Arabidopsis thaliana: one gene and its partners. The protein of the gene in region 2 interacts with the protein of the main gene of each other region in a pairwise test. Each region holds a gene or a part of one and is shown on either strand. Other genes may lie near its edges.

What was found. Proteins that work in one complex are often made in the same cells at the same time.
Region 1: the proteins of NF-YB7 (region 2) and AT1G74120 interact in a two-hybrid assay, tested with the Arabidopsis thaliana proteins (one large-scale study listed by BioGRID).
Region 3: the proteins of NF-YB7 (region 2) and BLH1 interact in a two-hybrid assay, tested with the Arabidopsis thaliana proteins (one large-scale study listed by BioGRID).

The regions. Positions count from the first base shown.
Region 1 is NC_003070.9:27,869,398-27,877,163, reverse strand, and holds AT1G74120 (Mitochondrial transcription termination factor family protein), read left to right. Parts: upstream 1-3,831; 5' UTR 3,832-3,903; coding exon 3,904-5,241; 3' UTR 5,242-5,990; downstream 5,991-7,766. Other genes in the region: AT1G74140 (Rhomboid-related intramembrane serine protease family protein), read right to left, coding at 1-236; AT1G74130 (Rhomboid-related intramembrane serine protease family protein), read right to left, coding at 1,267-1,368, 1,456-1,497, 1,579-1,680, 1,794-1,844, 2,004-2,114, 2,305-2,424, 2,505-2,625, 3,158-3,477. UniProt on the Arabidopsis thaliana protein: Transcription termination factor required for mitochondrial NAD2 intron 3 splicing and normal membrane respiratory chain Complex I activity. Essential for normal plant growth and development. Binds to RNA but not to double-stranded DNA.
Region 2 is NC_003071.7:5,653,044-5,660,085, reverse strand, and holds NF-YB7 (nuclear factor Y, subunit B7), read left to right. Parts: upstream 1-3,567; 5' UTR 3,568-3,596; coding exon 3,597-4,244; 3' UTR 4,245-4,695; downstream 4,696-7,042. Other genes in the region: NAD-ME1 (NAD-dependent malic enzyme 1), read right to left, coding at 4,983-5,057, 5,318-5,432, 5,527-5,589, 5,936-6,007, 6,115-6,169, 6,254-6,340, 6,438-6,510, 6,759-6,824 and 1 more.
Region 3 is NC_003071.7:15,086,986-15,096,165, forward strand, and holds BLH1 (BEL1-like homeodomain 1), read right to left. Parts: upstream 5,431-9,180; 5' UTR 5,242-5,430; intron 5,194-5,241; exon of another isoform or gene 5,131-5,193; 5' UTR 5,082-5,130; exon of another isoform or gene 4,802-5,081; 5' UTR 4,715-4,801; coding exon 3,872-4,714; exon of another isoform or gene 3,555-3,871; coding exon 3,166-3,554; intron 3,082-3,165; coding exon 3,021-3,081; intron 2,936-3,020; coding exon 2,186-2,935; 3' UTR 1,777-2,185; downstream 1-1,776.

The sequences.
Region 1 (7,766 bases), on a different chromosome or scaffold from region 2:
TTCAGCTTTAGGTTGGTGTTTCCCAACTTGCTAGCGAAGAACCCATGAACTTTCGCCGATCGCGATACAGCAGAAGGAACAAAGTGGGGTACTGAAGAAGGAGATGAGAGGCGAGAAGGAAGAAGATGGCGACTCTGGTTTGGCTTCTTCTTCACCATTTTGGTTAGCTGCGATTGCGAAGAAGCACCAACGTTGACGACGACCTTGCGAGAGAAGCTCGAGAAAATCGCATGCATTTTTTCTCCTTTTTCTTCGGAATAAATTTTCAATTTTTTATACCAAATGCATGAACTTCTGATTGTTTTATTGTCATGAGACACCATGAGGTATGTGTGTTAAAAACGTCACCTTTTTTTTAGTGCAATCAAAAGTGACGTCACACTAAACACTAGTAAAATAAAATAAAATCACATGCTCATTCCCGTTTAGGAAAGTTGTAAATTTAAACCATAACTTTTCCATCTCCAAAATCACAATTTACATACATCAAATTATCAAGTAACCATAACCAGAAACTGCTATATCTTATTATTCATCTTCTCGCTATTGCTGCAACCGCAATAGTGTAAAAGAAGAATCAAAGCAAATTCACCATCAAATCTTGTACTAGAAATCGGTTAAGTAGTCTTTCACAAACTCACATAATGAGATTTACTCGACATCAAAACAATTATGTAATTGGACACTGAACAATTCCTAGAATGTACCCAAGTGACTAGAATCTACTCTCTCTCTGTTCTCTATAAAACGGCTAACTTAAACAAAGTCACAAAGATCCTCAACTTGACAAAATGAGGAAAAATTTGCATTTGTCTTTTCACAATAATTTTTTATAATCTTTTTGGATATTCTCATAAGTATTTATTTGCATGTTAGTACTATTTGTAAGGAAAAAGGATTTAGTCTTTATAGTTTAGGTTTGTCTATTTTAAAGGAATAGATAATTCGTTGTTTTTCTGTATAATCCTTGTGATTGACTTCAAAAGAAAACAATAGCTTGGTGAGAAGACTTGGAATAAATGTCAAGACAATAACCTTAAGATAATCTTCAATGTTCAAATTTTGACGACAAGAGAATAAGAATTAGTTTACTTTGGAAACGAAGGTTTCCAAAATGTGCAGGCCAAACGTAAAAAATAGTAATAATAATAATCTCATTGTCACAAAGTTTAACATAACCAGTACTCCAGTAGTATAATGATGGGACAAGTTATATGAATCTTTTGCAGCAAGTCCAAGGTTTGATGGAGAAAGTAAAATAATCAATCAGTAGCAGAATCGACCTTTCCTTATCCTTGCCCACGCAATGACTGCAACTACAACTCCTCCCAACTGATCCAAACTAGTCAAGGTATTGTTGTTTTTCCCCTGCATTCCCAAAAAAGTTGGTCTGGTTTAAGATATAGTCATATAGTCTCAAAGCAAATGTGGATTAGATTCTCACATCATACACACCTCTAGCATCTTTATAATGTTGAGTCCTAAGCTATAGATTCCCTGAAGATTAAGAGAGTGAGAGTATTTTAGATGATTCAGAAACGTTTCACTCATTATGACGAGTATCTAGAGAGACCTTACAGCAAATACAGGCACTCGGAGCATCAACCCAAAGTATGTAGTAACTTTTGGGTAAAGGAGCATATCGAGAAGCGTAATGGCATACACAGGTCCATTAGCACCCTGTACACAAATTGGAAAGAGTTTGACCATCCAAAACATGAGCGTGTGCATCTCTGTTCCAGTCTGTTTATACTTTTAAAAAATAATTTAACTGGATGAGTGAAAAAACATACCAGCTTCCCAATGGGGACTTTTAATTGATCCTTAGGGACAACTCTTTGGCCCTGTATGATTGATTAACCAATAACAAAGGTAAAGCATTTCGTCTAAACCTCACAAACACATAGAGAACATGTACGTAGTACAAATGCACTGGAAAAACTACACATCTGTGGACCTAGCATGGTTAGGAAAATGAGAAAATTATGCTTGTTGCACTATACCTTGAGTGATATAACCGAGAGAGCATGACTACTCAAGAAGAAAACAGAGCCACCAAGTGCTCCAGCAAAGTAGAGCTTCAAAAGGTAGCGCGGCCCAAAGCTTCTTGCAATCTAAGAACAAATGGGATTCGATATAAAGATCAATAGGTAGCAAGTTTTTCTTTTTAAACGAACTAAGGACGGTCCTTAGATGAGCCAGATTAAGTGTAAGTAGCCGGTTCATACTTCATAGGAAACAAATGAAAGCATTTCTCATTTCGTTTACGAAAATTAATATATGGAAACAAGGAAAAAATCTTACTCTGGCTCCGAAGTAGCAAAGCCCCATCATATTCAAGATGATATGAGTGGCTCCAACATGACTGAAACCCGAAGTGATCAGCGTGTGTATACGTCCAGTCATAAAACTGTACCTTGATAACTGTCCAAATACCATATGGTTAATAATACATGTAGATTTTTTATTTTTAAAAAAGTTGTTAGAATTTGATGAGGTCAGACCATAAAATTCTTCACCATCCACATATTGTCCTTGCCTAAAACCCGCCACATTGTAAATACAGCAGCATTAGCTATTACCAATCCAAAAACTACACCATTAGCTCCATTAATCCAAGACTTCCTGCCAGAGTTAAACCAATAAAGTGGTTTTTTCTTTTTGGTATTAGTATCCAAAATCAAATGGAGCAGGTAAAGAATCTAAGATTTTTGATGTAGGAGAACAATTTTTTAAAGGAGAAGGTCTAAACAGTGTCCAGCTTGCTATTCTATGTCTTATCTATAAAGAGAAAAGCATCAAAAGAGCTTTGTGCTGCTCAAAATCAAGAACTACGCAGAAATGGAAGAAAAAAAAAGCCTACTAATTTCTCTGAATCCTGACACGTCTTTTACTTGGAAGAGCCAAACGTACAATTGACCAGAAAAGCTAAAGAGAGTTGTGAAAAAAGGTCGATGCTTTACCAAATAAATCCTGTCAAACCCAGAAATTTTATGGTGAAGACAAATTTATCTTTGAAAAATGTAGTTTTTACTTGGAAACAAATAGGTACAATATAAAACAGAGGACCATAGAGAAAGGGGAACTCAGAATTTTTCTTAGGAAAGGTTCCAACTTTACTTTGAAAAACAAAAAGGGAGAGGAAAAGAAACGATACCATCCACGTTTTTGAAACCCAGTAAAACCACCAGACTCGAATCCATGACTAGGAAGCTCAGAACTGAAGAACCCAGCTCTAGATTCCATAACATTTCCGAATTTCAGCTTCAGATTGGTGTTTCCCAACTTCCCTGCGAAGAATCCATGAACTCTCGCCGATCGTGATACAACATAAGGAGGAACAAAGCGGGAAGAGAGATCAAAAGGAAGAAGATGGCTCAGGGAATGGCGACTCTGGCTCGCCTGCTTCGTCACCAATTTGGTTAGCTGCGGGGAAGAGCAACCGACGGCGACCCTGCGACAGAAAATCGCATGCATTTCGAAACTAATTTCAAATGTTTTACCAAATGGCGCAAAAATAAGAGAATAGCATCAACTTCTTCTGATTATTCATGAAAAGTGTGTGTTTCAAAAACTCAGGTCTTTTAAGTGCAATAAAATAGTGATGTAAATGTAACAAGAAGTAACAACTTTCTTTTTTTAGGTAAACAAAAGATTCCCTCCGGTTTAGGGAAATTGTAAATATACAACTTCCAACTTTCATTAAACCATGACGTTCCCATCTCTAAACCACAATCCCACTCAAGACAAGGTTAAATGTCTTACAAAACAAATAGTGGGTGGCATTTTCGGAATAAGATGAAACATTGAGGGTACAAATAATAATCTTAATTTTGTACACGTCGTCATCGTCTTTCTTCCTCCTTCGTACAGTGATTGAGTGCCTTGAAACTAAATAAAAAAATGGCCTCAAAACTCAAAACCTTCATCAATCTCCGTGACTACCCAATAACCCTATTCAACCAGATTCGATCACTATCCTCACGAATTCTCACACCTATCAATCAATCTCACTACAGGAAACGAATTTTACTCGCGAATCTCCTTCAGAGGTATGGTTTCCCTCCTTCTTCTCTTCAGCACTTCCTCTCAAGAAACAATCACCTATTGAATTCGGACTTAGTAGAAACCGAAATTTCTCTCGGCATCCTATTGTCATTGAAAATCCCTCAGAAATCACTCGTTTCGTTGATTTCCGATTGCCCTAATGTTCTGCGATCAGAGTTTCTGAGGAAATGGAGAGTTCCTCTGTCTAATTGCGGTAAACACGGTGTCGTCTCATCTTCTGCGATTAAGAGCGTCCTTGAACATTCTAGTAGAATTGGGATTGGTCCAGATAAGTTTAATGAGTGCGTAAGGGTTTTGAAGAGTTTAGGGTTTTGTGATAGTACTGTGAGTAGGATTTTAAGTTCATTCCCTGGTGTTCTTTTAGTGAATGAGATTGAAATTCGTAGGAAGATTGAGTTTTTAGTTGGAATTGGCATTGCTCGAGATAACATTGAGAGGTTCTTTCACGTTTTTCCTGAAGTTCTAGGGATTGGTACTGAGACTAGACTTAAGCCATTGCTTGATGAGTTCATGAAGATGGGGTTTAGTAAGGATGATGTAAAGAAAGAGATTGCTAGAGAACCGAGAGTTCTTGGTTTGGAGTTAGGTGAGCTTCCGCGGTGTTTGGAGTTGATCAACACATTGAAATGCCGGGAAGTGATTAGAGTTAGTATAATCAGCGAAGGAGCATTTCGTGCTGGGTTTGAAGTGAAGCTCAGAGTTGATTGTTTATGCAAATACGGGTTGATTCGTAGAGATGCATTCAAGGTTGTATGGAAAGAGCCGAGGGTGATCTTATATGAGATAGAGGATATAGAGAAGAAGATTGAGTTTTTAACTAACAGAATGGGATTTCATATCAATTGTTTAGCTGATGTACCGGAGTATCTAGGGGTTAATCTTCAGAAGCAGATCGTTCCACGGTACAATGTCATTGATTACTTGAAACTAAAAGGTGGGCTTGGCTGTGATATTGGATTGAAAGGTTTGATCAAACCAAGCATGAAAAGATTTTATAATTTGTACGTGATGCCATACCCAGAGTGTGAAAGAATCTTTGGAAAGAGAAAAGAGAATGTCCGAGTGAATAAACGACATCCCGCAGGGCTTTGGAAGCTTATGAAGCCGCCTAGCAATCTAACAACAAAAGAAGATGTGCAGAACATGAAGTCCTTTATAGAGTCACTTGCTTAGTATGTTGGATCTTGGACTTGCCTCTTACTAGATTGAAAGAGATCGGCCACTCTCTAGAGGGTTCTTGCTCCCTCACTTTGCTATGAGCTGCTCTGAATTGATATGGGTTATCAGGAACTTTCAGTGACTATCGAATCTGATCTCAACTCGCTCGAGTTCATGGCTTGATTATTCAAAGGACAATGCATACTCCTGAATAAGCCATGCTCACTTCTCGTTGTGCATCTTGGGAAGACATCTACCAATGCCATTGCCTTCGTTTCCATGTCTCTGCCTGATAGATTTGCTGAGCAAATGTAATTGGACTTTGGTTCTAAAAAGTCAAGTGCCATGTTCCAACTTCCAACTGTAACTACTAGTTAGGGATGTTACGTGGGCCGAGCCAGGCCGGCTAGTAGCCCGTTTTGGCAACTTTTATGCTAGGCCGATTCATCTGTTCCGTGATCCATCCCAGACAAACCATTTGTTTTTGGCATTTATACCAAAAATATTTGTTTCCAACAATTTTTTTTCTTAAACATTATTTTCAAATGTTTTACGTAAAAGCTCTGTTAACAAGAAACTTAGATTTATGTATGGAAGAATTGGTTATACATGAGTCAGTAAGTCATGAAATCTGTATAATGGGAAGAAGTTAATCAGTTAAATCTTATTTATTCCAAGAGGGTGATTGGAGAAAAAAAGAAGAAGAAGAGAGTTATTGGTAACTAGTGTTATTTATGTATTAATGAAGAAGAGAGTTATTGGTGTTATATATGTATTAATCAATCACAAATTGTACTACTAGTTAATTATGTAAGTAAAATCAATTGAAATGCAATATTAAATTTCCATGAAGATTTTAATTATAGAGAAAATTAAACTTTTCTATACATAGATAGATTACATGGTTCAATAAAAATTATTGTGAATAACAAGAAGTATTTAAAAAACGAAACTTATACTCTAAAAAAAAAAAAAAAAAAAAGACCAAGTGTTAAAAGGCTTGTAATGTAAGAAGCGACAGTTGGTCAAATAACATCTTTGACTTGGTCAACGTATTTTAACAACGGTTTTCTGTTAGAAATGGACTAATAGTATTAACTTACAAAAGACACACCCGATTTGTGAGTTGTGACATTTGCTTTGTCCTTAAGTATCACCACAAGCCAGCTTATATTGTCTCTATAGTTAGACAACCTTTGACCTTATTATACATACGTATATATGGAGCTTTTTTTTCAATTTCATATGGCATATATTTGTGTCACTGTGTGTGTGGTATCAATGTTCAAGGGAGACAGTTTTGTGGTTAACGAGGTCGATGCTTTGTTTGGTCCATACCCTGCATCGTCCATGGCCACCATATTACTATGTTTCGTGACGTAATTGATGATATGTATATCAAATTTCAACTCAAACTAGTTGAATATGAATGATGCAATTATGCACATTGATTTACAGGCCAGCGCTGGATTTAATATCCATTGAGCAAGTTATGAGAAAACAGTGGTCAATTAGTCAATTACCATTAAGTTCTTTTGAAGAGTCCAATATGGAACAAGATCAAACAAATTATGAGACTACAAAGACTTATGAGTTTATAACCAACTGAATTAAATTTCTATAAACAGACTCTTCCCTCTTGCACCTACTTCATCTTCTTTCTCTTACTATGTTTCTTCAATAGTCTTGTAACTGATAATATATGACCATTGAATGTAAATCAAACCTCTGTGTAAGTTGATTTATATCAGTTTCTGTCTATAAACTAGACTATATAATATAAGCCATCCCCCGGACGGTTTTACTTTTAGAATTTATTAAAATAGTAGTATAAGTTCGCATGAAGGACCGACACTGTCGAGTCATGTGCGTTTTAAAGAGACAATGAGGAAACAGTGACTTTTTTGTTGGGTCAAAGGGAAGCAAATCCATCTTGTTGGTTAACGATTCCATTATTAATTTTGGTGGATTCCCAATGGAATATCTAGGTAGAAATCATACAGTATTTACGGGCAAATTTGAATTCAAGTATTGAAAATTCTGCTCATTATCCCATCCATGATCCATTTCTTTTAAAATTAGAAACTACAGTAAAGCACTATGTAGTCTTACACACGTGGTATCGAATGAGCGAGATATGGCTGAGTACATTTTTCATTGATTTATGAGATGGTCGGAAGTCGGAACACACAATAATATCGTACTCGACCGTGTTGACCTATATGTTACTATGTACATCAAAATAGTCATGTACATATATGCTAGTTTAAGCTGTAGCCTTTTTTTACTTCCTAAACGTCCAAATAGGTAGCCAACCCTATATAACTCTTTCACATTTCAGTCGAATCATATTCTAAAATTTAACCGACCATATTGTATATCTTCCTCCTTCCACCGGTAACTGACTTTCCCTTGCGCGAAAAAGGATATTATTCTCTACCAGTTCGCGATATACATTCTAATATTTGATTCGTTCTTAATTACATGCATTATCGATTAAAAAGTATCAGAACAACTAACGATCATCATTATCTAGTCCT
Region 2 (7,042 bases):
TTGTGGATAAATAGGGAATTGGACATGTTTAGGCACTTCTACAAACTTTTATTCCTTTTGAGGCACTTCTCACGTACAAGGCACTTTTCCTTGTTTTTGAAAAATAAATGGACAATTATATCCCCACTCATCTAAACCAAAAATTTACTTACCCGGTTAGAAATGTTTGTTTTGATTTGGTTCCCTTCTAATAAATCCACAGTTGATATTTACAGAAAAGGAAGTTACCTTCGCCGAGTGAAATTATCTCAATGTCGATGGTTGTTAATTCTCACTGTGATAATTGATTGTAACACTGATAGCTAAAGGCTATATCGAAAATCAAATCTGACGGAGCCGCGCAGGACCCGACGGCGGAGATGGATTTAAGATGCGATGAAACGATTCTTCTCCACATAATGGTCTCGATTCTTCGGGGAAAATTAGGAAAATTAGCATCAAGAGAAGAAATCGCAGATAAATCTTGAAAATGAGATTACTTACAGGAAAATTAGATCCGGACACGCGGTGAAGATTACTGAGAGATTAGAGCTCTCAGAGGAGATTCTCCGATCTACGATAGCAGAGAGTGATAAAGAGTGTGATAGAGAGAAAGAGAGATTTGTTGGAGAGGCCTATTTGCGTCGATTAGGAATCTCTCCCTGAATTAGTATCGGCCTGCAATAGCCATTTTTTACAGACTTTGAAAATCTTAATATGATGGAAGTTGTAGTTATCTGAAAGGTTTAGAATAACTAGAGTGGAGGGTACCAACAGCGATACTGATATCCACGTAGTCTCTGTAAATGATATCATCTCCATCGATAACTGCATTTACTACAGGTTGGTGCTGGAGGTTTGACTTGAGCACCATTAAACAAGAAACTCGTATGGAAAAAATTTAAGAAATTGTTTCGGCAAAAAAACTAGTATCCAACATATCAAGTCCAATAAAAGATAAACTGCAAAAGGCTGCCTACGTACCCTTAGAAAGGGATCAAGCCACACGTAGTTCATATCGCGATAAACGAGCTAGGCCATTACTGGAGGAAGGTCGTATGTCGAGTTAGGCAGTTTTAGGGATGATCCGGCGGATAAGTGACGAGTTGAATGGCTTCTCGAGACGTGCGAGTAGGTTAGTTACTTTGGGCGGGCAAGTCGGCGAGACACTTCGGACGGACGAGTAAACGAGCTACTCAAGATGGATGGGCAAACGAGGTACTTCGGACGGGTGAGCTGACGAGCTGCTTGAGACGGGCGAGCTGATAAGCTACTTGAGACGGGCCGGCTGGCGAGATACTTCGGACGGGTGAGCTGACGAGCTGCTTGAGACGGGCGAGCTTATAAGCTACTTGAGACGGGCCGGCTGGCGAGATACTTCGGATGGGTGAGCTGACGAGCTGCTTGAGACGGGCGATCTGATGAGCTACTTGAGACGGACCGGCTGACGAGATGCTTCAGACGGGTGAGCTGACGAGCTGGTTGAGACGGGAGAGCTGACGAGCTTCTCTTTGTCTCTAAGTGTGCATATGTTTTTTTTTTTTGATCATATTGTAAACAATATAGTTTAAAACCTGATGGTGGGAATATTCCCGCTATACAACAGTATCTCAATATTTCCGGTAGAAGGAATTTTAGATTTGTCTTTCATGGTAAAAGAGAAAGATAATTGATAATGTATCCATAAGAATCCATCCACAATATAAATGTATTAATTCGTTTGTCTGATTGGATAATTCATTATCACTGGATGACATTTATATTAAGTTTTAACGTATTTGTAAACATAATTAGCTAGAATGATTTACCAAATAAACAATAGTTCAAAATACACAAAATTATTTATTTTTCTTCGCATTGTTAACTGATATCAAATGTTAGATGCACTTGAAAAAATGTTGTTATGGATGGAACAAACAAATAATATGATACAAACCACTAAAACATTCAACAGCAATATAGAGATAAGATTATCGATATGGTTAATGTATCCATATCAAACGCTTTTCATGTTGAAAGATAAAGATAATTGTTAATGTATCCATATGAATCCATCCACAACATAACTGTATTAATTCGTTTGTCTGATTGGATAATTCACTATGACTGGATGACATTTATATTAAGATTTACAAATAAACATCAATCCAAAGTACATTATCCATGTTTCTTTGACCATTTATCCACATGTATATAGACATGTTGATACAATTTTATCGAGCTATAAACATATTCGCAGCAAATCAAAGACATATTTGTCCATTAATGATTGTCCAAGCAGTCCAGTCCATGATCATCTAAAGACTCACATGATAGTTTCATACTAATACATAAGTTTATACATGAACAATAAACGTCAATCCAAAGTATATTATCCATGTTTCTTTGACCATTTATCCACATGTGTATAGACAGTCAGTTACGTAGACCTCAGTCAGTTAAGGAACTTCTCCAAATCTGCCAACATCTCTACATATTTTAATGTAGACGTAATAGGTTGGTTTGAGGATACGAGGACACCGTCAACAATGAGGAGATAAGCAAGCCGAAGTCTGTGGTAAGAAGATAAGGTCTTGTGATTAACATTTTTGAAATATCACCTAACGTAGCATTCATGTCTTCACCTATTAGCTCTTCACAATGTTGGATATTATAAATAAAATTAGCACACGGTTGAATAATTAGAGCAAATAAAATGATTGGAGAAGATTAATACCTTGCATTTGAGGACCGAGTAGAAGTTACTAGCACACGCCGGAGACGACGAATCGATTGAGAGACAAGAAAATGAAGACCATGACGGGAGAACAAGTGTTGACGACGACGACGGGAGAGGACGAATTAATGTCGGCCGATTGAAAGCTTTGTTGACGATAACGACGGGAGAGGGACGAGGAAATGACTTTGCCGGTAGAAAACTCGTTGGGATGATCGCCGGAGTCGAGATGATGTTATCGTCGTTGTGATGATTTTAACTGCCCAGATAAATGAAACTGTAAAATCGTCGTGAAGGATTGGGTGAGAAAAAGAGGTTTCTCACAAATTGGTTTTAGTTTAGAGATTGAGATTAAAAAATTAAACCGAAAACCGGCTAAATTTGTTAGGTTTTGTTAAACTAACGATTTCAGGGTAAAGGGGTAATTCTACTGAGTTAAAGTGACTAATGCTTTTAAAGTGCCTATTTGTGGCCAAAGTTTCAAAATAGTGCCTTTACGTGTAATATTCTCGGATAAATAACCACCATATATATTTACCAGGCTAGAGTTTAGGAAATTACTATAATACAATAAATCAAAGCATTATGGAGACATGATAATTTATAGTTGTCTACATACTAAATAAACATACTACGGAAAATAATAAATTGAAAACACTATTTGATGACAATATGTTACATGATTGCTATTTTCTTACACTTTTCTTTATTATCTGGCAAATAACAAAGAAAAAAAAAAAAAAAAAAAAAAAGGAGCGAGTCGCATGGAGTTCCAAATTTGGTTGGCAAGGTATCCATAAATAGAAAAGTTGCCTAGTTTCATGCACTAAGCTTAACCATAAAATCAGATTGATCACATGTGGTTAACATCAATCACAAAAAAAAACAAAGAGATAGAGATATGACTGAGGAGAGCCCAGAAGAAGATCATGGGTCTCCTGGAGTAGCTGAAACAAATCCAGGAAGCCCTTCTTCAAAGACCAACAACAACAACAACAACAACAAAGAACAAGACCGGTTTCTTCCCATTGCGAATGTCGGAAGGATCATGAAAAAAGTTCTTCCCGGTAACGGTAAGATCTCAAAAGACGCTAAAGAAACCGTTCAAGAATGTGTCTCGGAGTTCATTAGTTTCGTCACTGGTGAAGCTTCTGACAAGTGTCAAAGAGAAAAGAGGAAGACCATCAATGGAGATGATATCATTTGGGCTATCACAACTCTCGGTTTCGAAGACTACGTGGCTCCATTAAAGGTCTACCTCTGCAAATATAGAGACACCGAAGGAGAGAAAGTTAACAGCCCAAAACAACAACAACAAAGACAACAACAACAGCAGATTCAACAACAGAATCATCATAATTATCAGTTTCAAGAACAAGACCAAAACAATAACAACATGTCATGTACTAGTTACATCTCTCATCATCATCCTTCTCCATTCCTACCAGTGGATCATCAACCTTTTCCCAATATTGCTTTCTCTCCTAAATCATTGCAGAAACAGTTCCCGCAGCAGCATGATAATAACATTGATTCAATTCACTGGTGAGAGAGACATTTGCTTTTTTTCTTCTTTCTTTTCACATATTATATGCTTTTCTTTACCTTTTGTGAGTACATCTTGATGCTTATATATATTTGTTGCTATATAGACACTAGACACGTACATTTTGATATTTTCAGTATACCCATGGTTTTGTGTAACAGAAATTCGTCTTCATATATTTTCCGGATTAGTTCGTCTCGAGCAAATATAGCAATCTCTCATGATTTACAACAGTAGAAACTAATTCCATGCTGCTAATTGGATTAGAATACTTACCACCTACGGTTTGAGAGTTAGTGGTCTAGCTTATAAGGTTTCCAGTAGAGAATAGCTTAATTGGAAGAGAATGGTGTATTGTTTCTCATTCATTTACTCATGTTATGATTGATAAAGATGATTGCTTGAATTAAAGAACTTCAAATTGTTCCTCACTCACTACTCTTAGTATCTTGACCTGAAACTATAAGTTATAAAAGTAAATGCATTTCTAATACGATGTATGTAAAATGTTGCTGCTATGAATCTGATTGAATATAACTTCTTTTTTACATATAAATAAGAGAAAGTGGAAGCTATGAATCTGATTGGATAACAAACAACCCAATTATATATTTTTTTTTTTTTTACATAAGAACAAGAGAAAGCAGTAGCTATGAATTTGATTGGGTATAAAGCAACCCCAATTATAAATTTTTACATATAAATAAGAGAAAGTAGACTTATTCATTTTGGGAACCAAACTTAGTCATCCTTGTAGACCAAAGTCGGGTACTCTGGATTCCACATGTTGTTTTCCACATACTCCATCAGCCCCTCCTGCGGAATACACAAGACCGCGTCAACATAACTAACATTTAGGCTTAGTTTCTGGTTTAGTCTTTATTTTCTCTAAGTGAGAAATCAGGTAAACACTCTTCTGTTCTTTACATATAATCAAACCCGATCGACATTCTTCGTAGAATACGATTTTATGATCAGGAGTCCAAAACACGTGAAAGATGGGATGTTGTTTTGACATCTTTTCTTTTTCTATCATTTATGATTATATTAAAGCAAGTCATTAGCTGAATTGTTACCTCATCCAGCTTTTGGATCTCTCGAGCGTCCATTTCTCTATATCCTTCAACCAAATCCTCCTCAATCGCTTCCTTAATCACCGCAGCTGCTATTCTTTTTGTTATGTCTCGTATCCTGAAATTTCAATTCCACATGCCAAATGTAGCAACTATATCAAAACATTTTCTTATGTAACAGTAAGGATGTTCTTTGATTGTGTTACTCTTACCTTGATATTGGAGGGTATATAATCCCCTCTAGCACTTCTTCTTCGCTCATGTATGCTGCTAGGCTGCAGTAGTTTAGCAGAACAATGTCATGATTCCACATTCATAAATTACGGGACTTGTTTATTTTCATGGTCTCCTTAAAAATATGAGTTTTACACTAACTACAATATGAAACCTCAACCGAAGGCCTACTATTGGGAATACCATTTGGAGAGAACATGTCGAACTACTGTGGTTCCTGTCTCGTGGATGGGGGGTATGTTATAGTTCGTGACATCAGCCAAATATGCGGACATTCTTAATAATCATTTAAATTTGGTCCGTAGTTATATATCATGGTACTCACTTCAGCTTTAGTTGAGAATAAATCAGGAATGATAAATGAAAAAGGTAAAGAAAGGAGCTTACCACTCGGATGCGGCCTGAAGCATCCCGTCGGAGACAATGGGAGCACCAGATAAAAGAGTGCCAAGTCCAATACTACAATAAATTTTACAGGATTAGAAAATCAATTTATTTCATGACAATTAATGTATCAATTCAAGAATGTATGCAATTCTTTCGGACAATAAACAAGAGGAACCAACCCTGGAAATAGATACATGTTGTTTCCCTGGTTGCAATGTCCTACATGACCATTTCCTGCCACAAGAAAAGGTACTAATATTTGAAAAAGCCTCATATAAAATGGCGTATGCTAAATGATACAGAGGTCCTCATACATACCAAATTCCACATTCTTGAATGGGCTTCCACTCGCAAAAATCATATTTTCGCCTAATATCGAAAATGCATCTTGAGGCGTGCATTCAGCTGTTATTCAAAACACAAGTACCTATTACATCTATCCAAAAAAGAATCACAAATAACCGCAAAACACATTTTATGGCAAAGAAAGAAGACAAATTACCATTTTTTGTGGGGTTTGACATTGCAAATATAGCAGGCCTTGTCGAGGTTGAACCTTTCATTGCTTCTAAAACCTTCAACACAATATCCCAACAATGACTTCAAAAATCAACTACCATATGTCAGAATCATGCAAGCAATGAGCTATGCTACATTCTACTAGCTCACTCATCTACTTAGCAGTTACCATGGAAACCAGATTATGAAGACAGTGGTCACTGAAGAAATACTAGATTTCATTTGCGCGCTCATCTAATTAGTTAAATCACTGATTCTGTTGCATAGCACTAGATATGTTTAGCCGTTTGGCAGCTTTCATTACCTCTTTTGAGAATAACCCTCCAACTGCTGATAAACCAAGAAGCACATCAGGTTTAACTTCACGAACCTAGCACAGATGAAACAGAAAACCGTTGTTTCTTGTCAGTATTAAGCAGGGAAACTTTTTTAAGGGAGAATTTCTCTCCAACACCAGACTCATTGCCAAATTAGATTTAGTATACTTGATGAACATATTGATAGAAAGAATAACAGACCACTTCCACAAGAGTTGCTCCTTCTTTTAATCCCTGACGCTCCATTTCTTTAGTCTTCCTAGCAAAAGGC
Region 3 (9,180 bases), 9.4 Mb from region 2:
AAATCATACATATTACTCGACTCCCACTCAAAAATTTCCAATTCTCAACGTAACATGTCAATAACATCTACTTCAGAATTATCTATCAATAGAAAATTTGTAGAAGTATACCATCAACATATAAAAAAACTTATGAAAAAATCGACAAGAAACGGATTTCTCTTAGGAGCAGTCATTTCCTTAGGAGGTACTTAATGAGGTATGATGATGTTACATACATTGGGATGAAATTTTGATAAAGGAATTAGTTTAGTAGAGATCGATCAATGGCAAAACGTATCACATCAGGGATATGCATGGGTGCAAAACTGCAAGTGATCAGCAGTGTGGAGCTTCAACAACTAATGCCACCGACGCAAAATATAACACGGTTTAAAAGATATTACCACCATATATGCATGAATGGAGCATGCGTGTATGAAACTAATATATTATTCTATACTCATACAAAGTAATTCACTAATTCATTTGACCACACTCTTTTTAGATATATTAAACAATGTGATCTTACTTTACGACTAACAATTGTAATTGCTAGGTACAATGCATCTAAAGCTCTTCTAGCAATTTTAAAATAGTTTAAGAACTTCCTTTTTATTTTCATTACATAAGTGTTTCAATATTTCAAGGAAATGTCACAAATTAAAGCATTTCATGCCGTTTCTGCATATCGATAATATAGTCAATTAAAATGATTGTAGAATGCAACATGATGTATACTAACTAGTATTCCGTTTATCTATCTGATAAGCACCATAACTAATCTGGTTCAGGTATGAAAAAGCAAACCAGTCCGGTTAGAGCTGGTTTGTTCTTGTACAGACTGTTGCTGTAAGTAAGAAGAAGGGCTTAAACGTTACACATTCAAATAAGGTAGTCGTTAAATACAGTGTGGAAGTTGTTGAAGTGGACAACTTCTGAACATATATTTCGAGGACTTAATAGTTGATTATATTCCTACCAAACCTTTTTGTTTTTACATGACCTTAACATTCAATCAATAGTTTACCCATGAAAAAACCTCTCTGTAAAGAACTTTTTTCTTATTATTGTTTTTCTTTTTGGACAATAGAATTTTATTTTTTATAATTTAAAAAAGGGTTGTTGCGTTGGGCCTAAACAAAGTGATGTTGAAGGGAAGCTTAAAATGAGTAATTTGGGTAACAAAATCGGAAATTTTATTAGATTCTGGGCCTCAGTTTTAAATAATGAATTCAAATTTGTTGTGTTTTTCAACTTTTGACTCATGAATTTGGCTCCGATAGTCGCAACATATTTCATGTGTTTCACTAAATTTCATTATTTATTAATATCTATAGAAAGGTATTTGGGCCCAAAAAAAGTTATGGGCCGAAAATGAGTAAAATATATATTAAATATTCGCATATGTTTTTGTAAACTTTTTTCTTACAAACCTCTCCGAAATTAGTCTCACACTCTCACGCAGTCTTCATATAAATATTCTGTCAATGTCTTTAATAACAGAAAAAAAAAATTGTTACTGTTATTGTAAGTTTATCTCTCAGCAGGTGACGCTATTCTACAAAATGATTTGAACATTTTCATTTTTATATATCTTGAAAAGAAAATTTATAACAAGTTTTATAAACGTTAATCTTAATTGATTTAAAAAAAAAAACTATACACAAAGTTTGAAATCTGAATTCAATTCAACAGTTCGTAAGATCTTATTTCAGAGATTGCTTTCTTTGTTTTTTTTTATATTTGTATTGTGAATGTGTAGAATTTTATTTAATATGCTTTTAACACATAAACACTCCTCAAAAAATATTATAAGTTTCCAGCCGCTTAAGCATACATGTCATATTCGGAATCTATACAGCTTAGATCTAATCTGTAATCATCATTCCATATTTGATAGATCAGTTCACTATCTTATTAATTATTACATTGTAATAAAAGTAAAAATATATTTTGGTATACACCCAATGCAAGCTATTACACGTAACTAATCCATATACATATATAACCCTATCCATCCCCCAATAGAAACGAAAAAAAAAAATTACAAAATCGATATACAACCGTCGGCCATATATAACCAAAGACTAAAATTAAATTTTGTTCTTTGTTTTGGTTCAATGGTATGAGAAACTATATACTAATTAAAAACTAGAAACGTATATAATAACCTGTTTCGGTTTCTCCTTCTAGAGAGATGGGTTTATGCAACGAAGTCGGGCAATAACTGAGCCACATATCTCTTCTGGTTCTGTATGTTCATCCCATTGTAAGCCGCGGCAGCTGCCGCTGATGAATGTGCGGTTGTGGTCGAGCTACCACCATTGATGGTGGCGGGTCCATATTCCTCTGTTTCTCCTATTTTCACTCTTCTCCCTATAGGAATCCCATGGTGGGTCTGCATGAAACCCTGATGGTGCGTGGACGACAAGCTATCACAATGAGGTAAACCTAACGTGAGGGACACGCCATTGTTGTTTCCTGAGTACCTTTGCGCCATGAGCTCCTGGTCTGAGACTACATCAAATCTTGACATCTCATCCATTTGGTATTGCCCGAAATTACCCATGAAAGGGTAGCCACCATCTGATCTTATCCCTTGCCGTTCTTCTAGAATCTTCATCGTGAGCTTCTCGTTGGAGCTGAAATCCGCATTTATTGGCTGCATCATTGTCTCGTCGCTGGTTCTTAGTCTCTTGGGGCTTCCTTGCATTCCAGTGACGCCTTCTAGGTCACCGTTGTGATTGGGATTCATATGGTAATTAGTGTCCGCCATTGGGCTCTTTTCTTGGTTACTTGTTGACTTTGAAGCAGAATCTTCGTTGCTTTGATCCAAAGGAGTCTTTTCCATGGATCCCATGTTCTTTGCCTGCTCCTTCATTTCCTCCATGTACATCTCCTCCACCATTGGTTTCCATAACCGAACTCTCGCGTTTATAAACCAGTTCGACACCTAAATAATTAAAGAAAATAAATTTACTTAAAAACGCTTTCTTAAGTAACCTAATAACACAAGAAAGAATCATTTTGAAACGTACCTGGCTACGAGTGAGTCCTGTTTGCTTAGCTAGCATGTGCTTGTCCGAATCCTTAGGGTATCTAATTAAAAGAAAGACAACTTAGAGACTGAGTTTGTGTTCCAGTGATGAAAAGTAGTGCATGTGTGTATAGTGGGTTACTTACGGATGAAGAAAGTGTTCGAAGAGCCAAGCACGGAGAACTGAGACGGCTCGTTCTGGGAGACCACGTTGAGGTCTCCAAGCATTATTGGAAGGATGTTGAATCATTCCCAGTTGTTGAAGAGCTCTTTGCTGTCTCAAGTGGTGGTCCACGAACTTGAGCCTCGACCCCTCAAACCTCCCAACACCAGACACTGAATCTTCCTCCCCAAGACTCTTGTTGGCCGCTTTTATCTGACCAGCGATCGCCTCTTTCAAGCAACGGAACTGTCTTGATATGGTTTTCAATGCTAGCGACGTGTATGACTTCGCTGATCCTATCCCTGCCGCTTGCTCGAACGAAGAGATCACCATCTGCATCTGCTGGTGGTACTGTCTATATCTCTGCTCCACCTTTTCATTTTTCAACCAACAAAGTAACGTGAGTCTTATGAACATAAGTGTACGGTCTACATAAATATAATCTATAAAAGTTGTTAGTCTTTACTAAGAGAGGGACAAAAAAAAAAAGATTTCATCAATCTTGTAAGTTGTCAATTTGAGAAATCGGAAGAGCAAAAAAAAAAAAGGATAGCTTAATATACATATAAAATGAATTGTGAAAATGACTGAAAATCTTAGGGACAGAACTTTTAAGTCCACTTCATGTGTGATATAAGAGAGCACTCAGTATATGTAGGCTTATTGTATATAATACGTATTGTTGTTACCTCATGAAGCATGTTACTAAGTTTTGCTTTCTTCATCTGTATTTCTTGTCTCTCTGCCGTGCCTAGCTCCACCGGACGTTTCCCGGCTGCTTCTGCTCCGCCACCGGAACCTTCTCCTCCAGCGCCGGCCGATGATTCTCCGACAGGTTTATCATTTCCGCAACTACCCTTTTTCGATGAGAATAGTTGGGATTTAGCGTTCATGTCATCGGAATCAGCGTTGACTACTTCGTCAAGAAGCTCTTGTGCTGCCTTCAAGTACTTGGAGCTAACAAGATTAGCTATACCGTTTGTTACCCCCGATCCTGTAGAGCCAGACCCGACCCGGATATCTTCTCCATGTCCGGACCCGAATCCGACGTGAATAGGCTGGTGTTGTTGATGATGTTGCTGTTGCTGCTGCTGTTGAGACGAGAGGGTTAAAGAGAGGCCTTGCTGCGCGCGTGGCGTCTCACACGCGGCTTGCTGGTGAGTGGGATCCACTTGGTGGCTACCGTAGAGACTGTACTGCACGCGCGGAGGATAACCGTGAAGTACGGAGATGTTGTCGGCGGCTGTAATGGAAGCAGCTTCGTGACCTGAGAGTGGTATTCCGACGAACTGCTGGCTCGCGTTTGGCTGCGGCGCGTGGGAATCGAGGAAAACGAAACTACTGTTGTTGTTGTTTGTGTTTGTGTTTGTGTTGTTGTTGTTGCTATTGTTGCTGTTGTTGTTGTTGTTCGAGTCGTTGTCTTGTTGGGTGTACTGAACGTAAGTAGTTGGATTCATGAGGATCAACGTTTGAAGACCACCGTCGGATCCGGCAGAGATCTCCGGTGGGTTTCCGTGAAAGTAAGCAGCCATCTATGTATAATTAGTAGTTGTTACACACGAATGAAACGACGTCGTTTTCTTTGATTCTCTTTCAATTCTTGACCTTCTTTCACCAAGCTGATTGATATCATAGAAAAACAAACAAAAGTATGAAAAAGGAGCAAAAACAAAACCACTATAAGTTTAATATAGATCTGTATATATATACAGTTGAAGCGAAGAAAAAAAGAATCGTGATCACATCAAGAAGACGAAGAAGAAGGGATGAATTATGGATTATGAGAAAGAGAGATTGAAGGATATGGAAATTAAGACATAATCATGATTGAAAATAAAATAATAAAATAATAGAGTTAGAAATTGAAAGAAAAAATGAATATTATAAAAGATGAAGAACCTGGATTGATAGAGATCTGAGGATGCACGTGTTTCATGATCATCTCAAGCTGCAAAAGGAAAGTTACATTAGAGAATTTCTATCAAAGAGAAAGAGAGAGAGACAGACACACACACATACACACGAATATACACTTATATATATATATTTATATGCATACCTGTGTTTGTGGAGATGTGTGTGATTGCTATGTGAGTTTGGTCTCTGTGTCAGACTCAAAGATCTCTGCAACTCTTTTCTTGCTCAAAGGGGAAATATAAAATACATTTAAAAAGCTGAGAAATAATATATAACAAAATAAAAATGACTAATATATATTGAAAGAGAGAGAGGATAAAGAAAGGAGAGATAAAAGATACCCATCTTTTCCTTCACTCATTAATCTTCCCACAGTCCTTAGTACGCCACCATTTTTCATCACTTTCTTTCTATTTTATTTTATTTTAGTGTTGTGGTCGGTATATCTTATAACCAAAGTGGATTTTTTGTTAAATGGGACAATAACCAATGTTTAGGACATGAAATATTCACTAATGTAACTTAATTTTACATTCATATATTGATATATACTTGTATCCGCAAAACAATTTGTGTGTGTGTGTGTGTTTACGTTCACCACCAGCTAATATTACTTATCTTTTTAATTTAATATGCTAAATAGACATTCCAACCATGTTGGAATTTGTTTTCAAAATTGATATTAAACTCTACACTTAGATATAGCTTTATGTAATCATTTAAATTAGTGTACTCTAGAGCAATTGGTTCAACAGTTTTTTTAAATAGAAAAAGATTAATGAATAAATTAAGAAAAAGACATAGCATTCTTTCATACTGCATGTTCAAAAAACCTTTACTTCATGTTATTATCACTATATAGCATGGTGATAAATAAGTTACAAAGTACATATATATCATAGGGAGCTAAAATTCATAAAACTAAGTGAGAAAATGTGCATATAATTGTTTGTTGTTGAAATTCTAGTTTGACATCCAGTACAAGAGATAATATTAAATTCGAAATATTTCAACTTCATAGACATATGTATACATTATTTGGTAATATATATGTGATACGTATCTTATTATAAATTTAGAATTGGTATACTTGAAAAACAGAGGAACTTGTATGATATGACTTTGGCCTTTTCATGTATTGACCAGGTAATGAACCCACATATCATAACAACCAAACACCCTTTATTTAGTTATTTATAGACGATATAATTTCATAGATGAAGTAAATGTTATCACATCAAGACATAGTGATATGTATGTCGTGTCCAATTTAGAATCATATCATTTTCTTTTAAAACATTATATTTGTATTTATTTAATAAAAAGAAATCCCACACGCATCTCAATCCAAATCTTTCTTTATTGATATAACTACAATCCTGAACATAAAGTATTCTTCGGATTACTATTCTTGCAGACTTTTATCATCTAGCAAGTTCAGAGTGTACACTGAGGATGGCAACGAACTTTGAACTGATTATGATTTATAAGTAATAAAATTAGTAATGTTTACGTTACCAAGTTCTTTTCATTTTTTCTTTTTTCAACTGTTTTTTTCTTTAATTTCATTTCATTATTTTCCTCAGCAGATTAACTAAGATACTTTATTTACAAAGTTTTATATTACCACATACACATAAAAACTTAAAACGCATCAACACTTTATTCTAGAAAATGAATAGATTTCATTTTTGAAAGTCCTACCGTTAGTTTATATTTTTCTTCCAAACACTCAAATAGGTTAAGAGTATAATATTTTAAATATACATAATGGGATTAGAGAAATTGAAAACTTATACGGAAAAGTGAATTGTGTCAGAAGATCCAAACAGCACAAAAACGAGGAAACGTCTCCTTCTGCAGAAACCTAAAATATTTAATCACACAAAAATCTAAATTATTGAGAAAGAGAGGAGAGAGGAAGAAAGAAGATGATAACGATAATGATAATGAAGCATGATGGGGAAAGAGTGGGTCCCGTTAAATGTATATTTACTTTTATTTCTTTATTTCATATATTCTTTTAGTTTACCACGTATGTCTATTTTTAAAGGGTATTTGACTAAAAGTATTTTATTTAAAATATAATTAGAAATATAGTAGATAATTTTAGTTGATTAATTGCAAAGAGTGTTTAAGTTCATGAGAAAGTCTTTTTTAGTAACTTGTATTTATTTTATTTATACGATATAGATAATTATAATTTGTATGTAGAACAACAAAAACATATGTGGACAAATTTGCTTATCTTTTTGAATCGTTTACCGTCCACATAAACAAACTACCAGTTATGTAAAATAAATCATCCATAGCGCATAAAAACTGGTATCTTGTTATTTTTCAAAAGCATTTTTGAAACTAGTATGTTCATATTTATACATATCTTATTGTTGATCAAAACAATTGTAGGGTTGGCCTCATGTTTAATAGTCTCACTAAATTTCAAACAACAACACTCAGAAAAAATTGTAATACATTTATTGATGCGTGTTTTTTTAAATTCTAATAAGATGTAAATAGTATTTATTATAATTTTATTTGTTGCGTGAGTAAATATACATGTGGTGATTACCAAATTCCTATCAGTATTGATTTTTTATGGAAAATTTCCTATAAATTATTTTCGTAGAAAAATGAGAGAAAAACCATGTTTCCTACGATTTTGGACGTAGGAAAACGTTAATTTCTTTGTAGTTTGTTTCAAATATTTGTCATTTGTCATTTTTAGTCATTATAAATACTATATCCTAAAAATGGAATTAAAAAATCCCAAACATAATGTGCAAAATAATGCTTTTATATAAAAAACTTGTTTCTTATGTTTTTCTCATTGGAGTGAAATCTTTGATGGATTTCAGTTGTCGAGCTTCTAGTCTTGGTTAAACGAATGCAGTTTGTAGAGACCGTTACTTTGGTTATGCGTACGAGTGTTTTGACCCACTTTCCCAGGTTAGACACCAAACTAGCTAGATTTTGAGCGTGCAGTTGTTACATAACATACGTAATGTGGCTTGGTTTAAATTTTATCATCAATAAGCCAATATTCACGGTGTTATAGTGGTCATTACTATTCGTCGGGTGTGTATTAAATACTCCTAAAATAAGCCCATTTACGCATAATTAGTTTTACTCCAATATAAATTAATCTGGATTGTCTTCTCATTGCGATCGGGTTTGGCATGTTATATGCCTTTGACTAAGTACTGTTTTTTCTTTCTTTATGTCATACGAATTTGTAATATTCGCCATCAACTTGTGTTATTTTTTGTTCAAAAATAATGAAGAAAACTATTTTAGAGGAAGAAATCAAACAAATTAGTCAACAAAAATCTTCTAAATCTGTATTTTCTGAGTTTTCATAGTTTCAACAATTTCATCAGTTTACAATATGTTATTAGAACAACTAGTCGAACATTTCATGTTTTTTTCTGTGTGAAATTTCTGAGTTTTTTTTTTGTATGTGTGAGTTTTCATACATTTACTCCCCAAAACAATCATTAATTGGCTAATCTTTTCCAGTTATGCTATATTCTACATTAATTAATAACTATGTTCTCATTGTCAAATTATAAGTACAAATTATTATTTTGTTGTCTGATCATATGGAAACCAAAGTAAAAGCAAAAAAAGGGTGGAAAATTAGCTGTCAATTCTATACGAGCATTTGTTTTCATAGATTTATACTTAAAATTATGTCCCTACCATTTTAACGTTTCAAATAAGTATAAATTATTCGTCAGTGACTCAGTGCACAAAGTGTCTATCTAAATGAAGTGTGTTACTCATCTCTATTCAATTCAACTTCTGGTCATTATGTATAATTTATACATATCTCACCAATCTATTAATTAATTTTCTTTACTTGTTGTCATCGGCTGGAGGCTGGAACCATGCAGTTTGAATGAATGTAAGCATGCAAGATATATATGTAGTAATATTGAACGCTTCACTCCCTGAGTTTTTTTTCTTTTTCTTTTGCATCATCATAATAAATTTGTTTTTTTTCATCATAATAAATTTGTTAAAAAATTAAACAAAACAGAATTAAAAATTACCAAAATTTACAAGCGCAAATGGCATT